2 linked regions of the Ovis aries genome follow. The protein of the gene in region 2 binds, or shares a complex with, the protein of the main gene of each other region. Links are inferred from orthologs where the notes say so. Each region holds a gene or a part of one and is shown on either strand. Other genes may lie near its edges.

Region 1 (3,627 bases), on a different chromosome or scaffold from region 2:
GGTGGGTACCAGGGCCCTCTGTGCCTTGTTCCATACCGCTTTGATGGGGAAACTGAAGCCCAGCCCTCTCTTTCCCCCTCTGGGGCTGGGCTCCATCCCAGCACCAGTCACGGAGGCCTAGCGCCCAGCAGCCAGCGACACCCGTCCAGCTGGAGCAAAGGCTGGGGAAGCCGTGGGGCTCCTGCCCTGCCCCTCCGCTTCTCCCTGACTGCCCCCTCTTCCGCCCCATCCCCCCCACCCAAGCTGAGTGGTTGGCTGCAAAGTCCCATCTGAGCCATACACCACCTGTCTCCCTCTCTTTTCTCTTTGTCTTCCAGCCCCTCATTAATTCCACTCACCCCCAAGCCGCCCTGGGTGGGGGCCTTTCCTCCTCTAGGCCAAGGAAACCTTCCTCCCCAAGTGTCCTCTCTACAAGGGCCACCCCTCACGTGGATGGATGGAGGTTTCTTTTTGGCAAGAAGTTGGGGAGCAACCTGGGGTGGGCTCCCCACTGGCATGCAGTGAGTGTTTTCTCTGCTGGGGGCAGGGAGCTGTGTGGACCCAACCTGTGAGCCGCTGAGGCCTGGACCTAAGGCCCACGTGCTGGCCATCTGCCATGCACAGGCAGGGAGAGGAGGCCAGGATGCTGGAAGGGGAAACCGAGGAAGGGCCGCTGTGGCCAAGGAACCAGTGCCGCGGGGTCATCACGGGTGCATCCAGTTTATTCTCCATGGTCTGGGGGAGGGGACAGGAGACAGCGGACAGAGTGCTGGCCAGCCAGGGTGCAAGCCATGCTGGGCGCGAGGAGGGACCGCCCAACTCAGAGCCCCACGGCCTGAAGGCCGGCCAGGAGGCTGAGCAGGACGGTGGCGGCCACAGTCGCAGGGCTCCCCCGGGGGCCACCTGCCCCCCTCCCCTGGGGATCTTGCCAGGGTGGGGTGTTGCACAGGTTGGACTGGCAACAGGATATGGTCGTCAGGGATCCTTCCACCGTCCTGCTGATGGCTTGACATGTGTCTGCACACCACCCCGAGTAGGTGGTCTGGGGACCTGACTCTGTGAGGGGAGAGAGTGGATCACACGGGACGGGACACGGCAGGGATGGGGCCCCTCACAGGCTTGGGTGACGCCGTCCCGCCACCCCCGGGTGGCCCCTCACCAGCGTTCCAGGAGGAGACGATGGCTTTGCACGTCCTGGGGAGCACGCAGCTCTGCACCTGCTCGCAGCTCTCCCCCTTGTGCAGGGACTGGCACGTGTAGCACTGTGGCCCTGGGGGGCCAGGTGGGCTCAGCTGTGCAAGGGGCACAGCCCCCGGAGCGCCCCCAGCTCACCCACGCCTGCTGCTTCCCAGCCTCTTCCCCTTGGAGGTCTCTTCCCAATTCCGGTCCGCCTCTCCCACTCTCAGCTGACCCCCTCAAACCCTGCCGTGCTGGAGCCCTCTGTGCCCCCACCTCAGGACTGGCCCCCTTACTCTCCCGCCTCGCCCCCCGCTGCCCTGCCTTACTGGGACAGTTGTGTATTTCTGAACTGGACTCCACACCCAGGGCCTTTGGGTCACTGGTCTCTCCTTCCTGGGGCTCTGCTGTGCCCCTGTCTGCTTGGTGAACTTCTATTTAACCTCTCTGCCCCAGCACCATTGCCCCTCCCAGGACTGGCTCCTTCTCTAGCCCCTCCTCTGGATGGCAGTTGGGGGCTACTGCCAGGGTGAGAACTGAGGGTGTGCTGAGTGCCAGGGGCCCTGCCTCCCCCTTCCCCCACCCTGAGGGCATGGACGCTCGCAGCGGAGGCCTCTGCCTGTGGGCTCCTCACTGTCAGCTTCGAGGCACCCATGTGAGTGCTGAGGAGGAGGGTCGAGCGCCCCCATGCTGGGGTGGGGTGGGCAGGTACCTGAGCCCCTGCTGCCCGCAGGCGCGCCGGCCTCCTCTTCCTCCTCATCCTCCTCATCATCGTAGCCTTCGCGCCCAGGGTCCGGGTCATCGTCCTCGTCCTCCTGTGCCTGCCCTCTCCCTGGCCACGCAGGGACACCTGTAAACCTCCACTACCCAGGCGCAGAGGACACAGGCTCGGAGCCCAGTGCCGCGCCCCCTCCCCTCGGTCTGGCATCCCCTTCCCAGTCCCTCTGACCTCCCTGACCCTCCCAAGCTGGTGAGGTCGCTGCCTGGGTCTCTGAGCCCCGGCCCCACCTCCTGGCTGGTGTGCGACCTGGCGGCATCCTTGCCAACAACACTAGGGGTTGGGCGCTGGCCTTTCACAGCCCCCGACTCCAGCCCCCAGATGGCAGGTACCCCGAAGCCTGAGAGGCTGAGACTGGGTGGGATTGGGTGGGGAGGGTCACCCGCGCCCTGGCGTCTGGTTGGGGCAGGGGCTGGAGGTTTGGGGGCCCGTGGGGACCCAGCACGGCCCACCCGCCTCCCTCTGGCCTCGGCCTGCAGGTGCTCCCCGTCCTCCTCCCCAAGCCACGTCTTGCCTCCGGGCTGGGTGACCCTGAGGGCCTGCAGCCTGGACTGGGCATCCCTCTCGCTGCAGGGCCGCCCCTTGCCCCACGCACCTTGCTGCCTGCACCACAGCAGGGCCAGCAGGACAGCCGCTAGCGCCTTCATCCTGCGGGGCTGCCACCTCTGCCGCGTCTGCTCACCAGGGCCTCGCTGGGGCTCTGAATCTGTGGGAAGTGGGACAAAGGGCCTTGCCGGGGGCTTCCCAAGGCCCCGGGCCGCCAGCTCCAGCCTCAAACAATGGGCCTCACGCTGGCCCCCAGGCCAGGCACTGGGCCAGGGATGGTCATTTCCCTCCCTGGCTCCAGTGGTGGGGGAGGGGAAGTCACTGTGGCGGCCGGTGGGGCGTCCTGTCCACCTGAGCGGTTCTGCCCTGGCCCTGCGGCCTCAGCCCTGCAGTGCAGGCTGGCCAGCCCCTACCCCTTGTCTCGACCCTGAGACCAGGTCCAGGCCGCAGCCACGGGAGCCTGGCTTCATGGACCCTCCAGTCCAGCTGCAGACCGCTGAGTGGCACCGTCAACCACGAGTCAGCTGCGTCATCTCCCGGGGCCTTGTTAAGAGCATTTCAGAGTGAGACACAGCTGGGGTCCTTCTGCTAGGCCTCCCTCTCCCAGCAGCACTGCGTGGGCCCGCCGGCGGCCGCTGCCCTCCGCCCCACCTCAGGGCCTCCGCCCCGCTGCCTCCTCTCCCTGGAACACAGTCCCCGCTGGCGTCCTGAGGCCGTCCTGCCCCGGGGTGGCGTGCCCTGTGTCAGACAGAGAGCTTCCACCGAGGAGGTCAATGGGAGACCAGACCAGACATCTGAGTCCTTGTGATAGCAAGCACGTATTTGCAAACTGCTGCTTCCTGCTTAAGTACAGGAAGATAAAGGATTGATAAACACTCTCAGAGGAAGAGCCGTCTGTTTCTGTGAGGTGAAACCAGCCCCTTCCGCACTGGCTTCAGGGTGTTGATGCGGAGTTGTTCGCAGGCGTTAGGGTTAGGGAGCGATGCGGGAGGAGGCCGTGCGATCGTGGGTGAGTGACAGGCGGTGGCTCTGCTTGCCTGTGGCGAGTTCTCTAACAAGTTCATTTCTGCACATGCCCTTACCCTTGATTTGCTAAGAACAGCCCACCCAGTGGAGCACAAAACCACCTGTAGACTTTATTAACGTTG
Region 2 (3,905 bases):
TGAGGGCAGTGCCCATATCCTCATATTTTTCTTAGAAATCGAAAACAGAGAAGTATAGTCAGAGCCCAGAGGTGGTGGTACTTACCATTCCCTCCTCACACTTGTTCGTTTCTACTCTGAATGTCTTACATTCCTACCTAAATTAGTTTGGAGGAGAGAGCAGAGAGTTGCTGTGATAGAAGAGGCATTATGTAAAGAGGGGATGGGGGTTAGAGTGAGAGTGGGAAGGAAGGATGGGGGGGATTAATTTCAAGTCCATTTCCAAATGATTCCTCCCTTACAAAGCATTTATAGCTAGGAAAAACAGATTGATTAAAATCCAATTTAATTCCTTAATCACTTGTGTCTATTTGCATGGAAGAGTAAGGAATTAAAGGGTCTAAGAGGATTTTGAGTCTGGTCTAAATTCCTCATTTTAGGACTGAAGAAGCAAAATCCAGACAGGTGACACTTACTAGCCCAGTAATTTAGGGTCCTGAATCTCTCAGGGAGTCTGACAAAAACTGTAAAACTGTGAATGACACTTATTTGTGTGTGTTTCTGGTCTAAGTAACATTATCCCGTGATGTACTATCTGAAACAAGAATTTGGACTTTGTTCCAACCATTTTCTCAGATAGTGTAAAACACACATGCTACTTGGTAAGATGTTTGCCTGTGTGTCTGGTCAGTCGCCCTAGTTCTGTAGGACTCTGTGGGACCCCATGGGCCCTAGCCTGCTGGATTCCACCATCCATGGGATTTTCCCGGCAAGAATACCCGGCTGGGTTGCCATGCCCTCCTCCAGGGAATTTTCCCGACCCAGGGATCAAACCCATGTCTCCTGAGTCTCCTTTCTCCTGATGCTGGGATAGACTGAAGGCAGGAGGAGAAGGGGACAACAGAGGATGAGATGGTTGGATGGCATCACCAACTCCCTGGACACTAGTATAAGCAAACTCCGGGAGATGGTGAAGGACAGGGAAGCCTGGTGTGCTGCAGTCCGTGGGGTTGCAAAGAGTCAGACACGACTTAGCGACTGAACAACAACAAATTGAACCTCCAGTGTTCTCAAACTGATCTGACAGAAAAGATACTTTTATCAGCTTTCCTTTTTTTAACCTATGAAAAATGCTATTTCATGTACATCAGAAACTAACAAAACATGGTAAAGCAACTTTACTCCGACTTAAATAAATTAAAAATGTTATTTCACAACTCTGTGCTGAAATAGCAAAGTCAGGGACAAACTTAGTAGCAAAGTCAGAGACAAACTTCACTATAAAATGAGCCACTGCAGGACGTGCCGCCTGAAAGCACATCCAGGAGACACGCCCCAACTGCAATTCCACCAAAGAGAAAAGAAAACGTTGCCTCTTTTTATGACTTGCTTCAGCTACCTTTTTAGTTCTGCTGTGTGTTAGCTGAACCAAGGCTCAAGTTACACAGGCTGCCTCTATTGTGGGCAGGTCTCGGGCTGGGCGCTCTTCTTCCCTGCAATAAACTCACATCTGGCCTGGACGCCTTATCCCTGGTGAGCGGTGACTGGGGTTCCGCCAGTGGCCTCCCCGTGGCGCCCAAGAAGCCCCAAGAGCTCGGACCGCACCGCGGGGCAGGGCGCCCGAGTCGGGCTCAGCTCCGAGAACAGTCCGAGGACAGTAAGGGTAGCCAAGCGCAAACCTGGCAATCTCCAAGTCAGCGGTCAGATTGCTGGTCGCTCTGCCACGTTTTTCACGGCGGGGGGTGGGGGTGAGGGGAGCGGTGGTCAACCCTTCACCAGGTTTGCTGGCAGCTAAGTAAAGCCGAGGGTACAAGAGTGGAAAATGGACAGCTTCCCCGACGCGCCAGTGCGTGCAGGACCCCGCGTGCCCAGGACTTCGCGCCCCGCGTCCTCTCCTCCACGTCCCTCCACGTGGAGAGCAAGAGTGTCCAGGGTTGGGGTCAGTGCCTCCCCCCGCTCCACTACGGGCCGGCTTCTCCAGAAGGGGCCACTTTTTACTCGCGCTCTCACTGGCTGGGGCTGAGCTGCGACCAAGGCCAAGCCAGGGTCACCTTGGCCCCCTTCATTTCATTCCAGGGCCCCTGCAAGAGGAGAGGTTAAAGCAGGTCACCGCGGGCAGAGCCCTTCCTCCCGCCTCCGGGCCCCGCCCCTCACACTCTACCGGACCTACCCGGCTCATTTCCCTGTAGAGCCCAGGCTCCAGGGAACTCAGCCGCAGCTGGAGTAGAGAGGACTGCGCGCGAAAGAGAGAAAGGGGAGTTGGGAGCCGCCCCAAAGAGATCGGAGGAAAAGTCTCCTCCGTGCTCCTTCCAGATCCCACCCCCGCGACCCTATCTGAGGCAAGCGCTCGGGCTAGGAGAGGCCCCGGTGCTCATCGCAGCCCCTTCCTACTTTCTTTCCTTCTCATCCTCACAACGTGTGCAAATGGCCACTGAGCCTATTCTGCAAGTGGGGAGTCTGCGCGCAAAAAACTTACTGTCGGCGGCGACCAGCCCTCCGCGGGAGACGGTCAGACTCTGCAGCCACACGCTCAGAGCCAGCAGAAGCAGGACCTTGCTCTCCATCTCGGGGGATGTCCCTCCGTAGGAGATGCGGGGCACCGGGCGCGAGCGCGGACAGAGCAGTAGAGCCGCTGAGCCCGAGGCGGCAGCAGGCTGGAGCAGCGGTCTGGCGCGGAGCAAGTCACCCTTTAAAGGGGAGGGTGGGGAGCTAGAAGCGGCAGGTTTCCCCGGAGGAGGAGGAGGTGGGGGAGGAGAAAATGAGTCTGACACTGTTTCCACTCCACGGCTGCTTATGTGATTGGAAATATGCAAATAAACCTCATCACCTATTGGCTATAAAATCATAAGTTGGGGGGAGGATACTAAATTCACTTTCAAATATTTGAGCAAACTGAAATGCGGTTCAACTCTGCAAGGGAGAAGAAGGGGAAAGGGCAGAAGGAAAAATTTTACTTTCTCTAGGAGGGCAATTTGCTTTTCCTAAGGGGTCTGGCTCTCTTGGGTCCCCTATACAAACACCAAACAAAGGTTTTTATGGCTTTATGTGAAATACTCTGTAATCATCTGTTTTCTAAGAAAGGGAAGTTAAGTTGTTAAACTACATTTGGGCAATACCCAGCTTCTTTTGATGGCTTCTGTTTGTAACTTGCAGTGTCTGTTTTGTTTTCTGTTTGCCCCCTCCCCCGCCAATTCTCCTGGACAACGTCAATCTAAGGACCCATGGACACACGTTTTTCTGCAGCTTGAGCTTGCACAATCTGGTATTTTAACTTTGGTGAAATGGATTGGCTTATGTAGTTGAGAAAAGCCCTCTTGCTCTAACTAGTTTCTAATTTTTGCCTTAATGCAAGTTATATTCAATCCTCAAACTCATCAAGAAATGCAAAGTAACATTTTATCCTCAGAGGCAGAATGTTGAAGCCAGACAGCCTGGAAGTGTATTGTTATGCTAAGTGAAAGAAGCCAGTCACAGAAGATGCACATCCTATTATTTCCTTTGCATAAAATGTCCACTAATAGGCAAACCTTAGGGACAGAGAGTAGATTAATGATTACCTAGTGCTGGGGACTAGGGGAGGCAGGAGAATGGAGATGATTTTGGAGGGGATGGTGATGGAAATGTTCAAAAATTACATTATGGTGATGGTTGTACAGCTGAGTAAATACACTAGCAACATGGACTTATACACTTTAAATGGGAGAACTTTATGGTACATAAATTATATTTTAAATAAAGCTATTAAAAAGATGTGTTCAGGTATGCAAGTAAAATAACACGAATAATGAAATCACTTTGGATGTTGTATTTTCTTTGACAAAATGCTCAGAATACTTTCAAATGTCTTTTTAAATGTAAAGAACTTGAATTAGCCAGGAGAGATAATTAACTGTATACACTCCACTTTACATCTGAGAAATGGGCTC

Evidence for each region.
Region 1: the proteins of LPL (region 2) and GPIHBP1 are in contact, whole or in part, in a crystal structure (PDB 6OAU), measured with the Homo sapiens proteins. The link is inferred for Ovis aries from reciprocal best matches to the Homo sapiens genes LPL and GPIHBP1. Residues at the interface, in NP_000228.1 of Homo sapiens: Tyr367, Gly368, Thr369, Ala371, Glu372, Glu374, Leu403, Met404, Lys406, Lys430, Lys440, Ile443, Cys445, Ser446, Arg447, Glu448, Val463, Lys464, Cys465, His466, Asp467, Ser469; in NP_835466.2 of Homo sapiens: Cys68, Lys69, Ser70, Leu92, Ala94, His95, Gly96, Asn97, Thr98, Glu99, Ser100, Leu103, Thr104, Thr105, Ser107, Trp109, Cys110, Thr111, Asp112, Ile117, Lys119, Val121, Glu122, Thr124, Val126, Met128.

Annotation. Positions count from the first base shown.
Region 1 is NC_056062.1:14,303,885-14,307,511, forward strand, and holds GPIHBP1 (glycosylphosphatidylinositol-anchored high density lipoprotein-binding protein 1), read right to left. Parts: upstream 2,636-3,627; 5' UTR 2,581-2,635; coding exon 2,529-2,580; intron 1,988-2,528; coding exon 1,868-1,987; intron 1,250-1,867; coding exon 1,139-1,249; intron 1,036-1,138; coding exon 800-1,035; 3' UTR 681-799; downstream 1-680.
Region 2 is NC_056055.1:45,939,405-45,943,309, forward strand, and holds the start of LPL (lipoprotein lipase precursor), read right to left. Parts: upstream 2,706-3,905; 5' UTR 2,544-2,705; coding exon 2,456-2,543; intron 1-2,455. UniProt on the Homo sapiens protein: Key enzyme in triglyceride metabolism.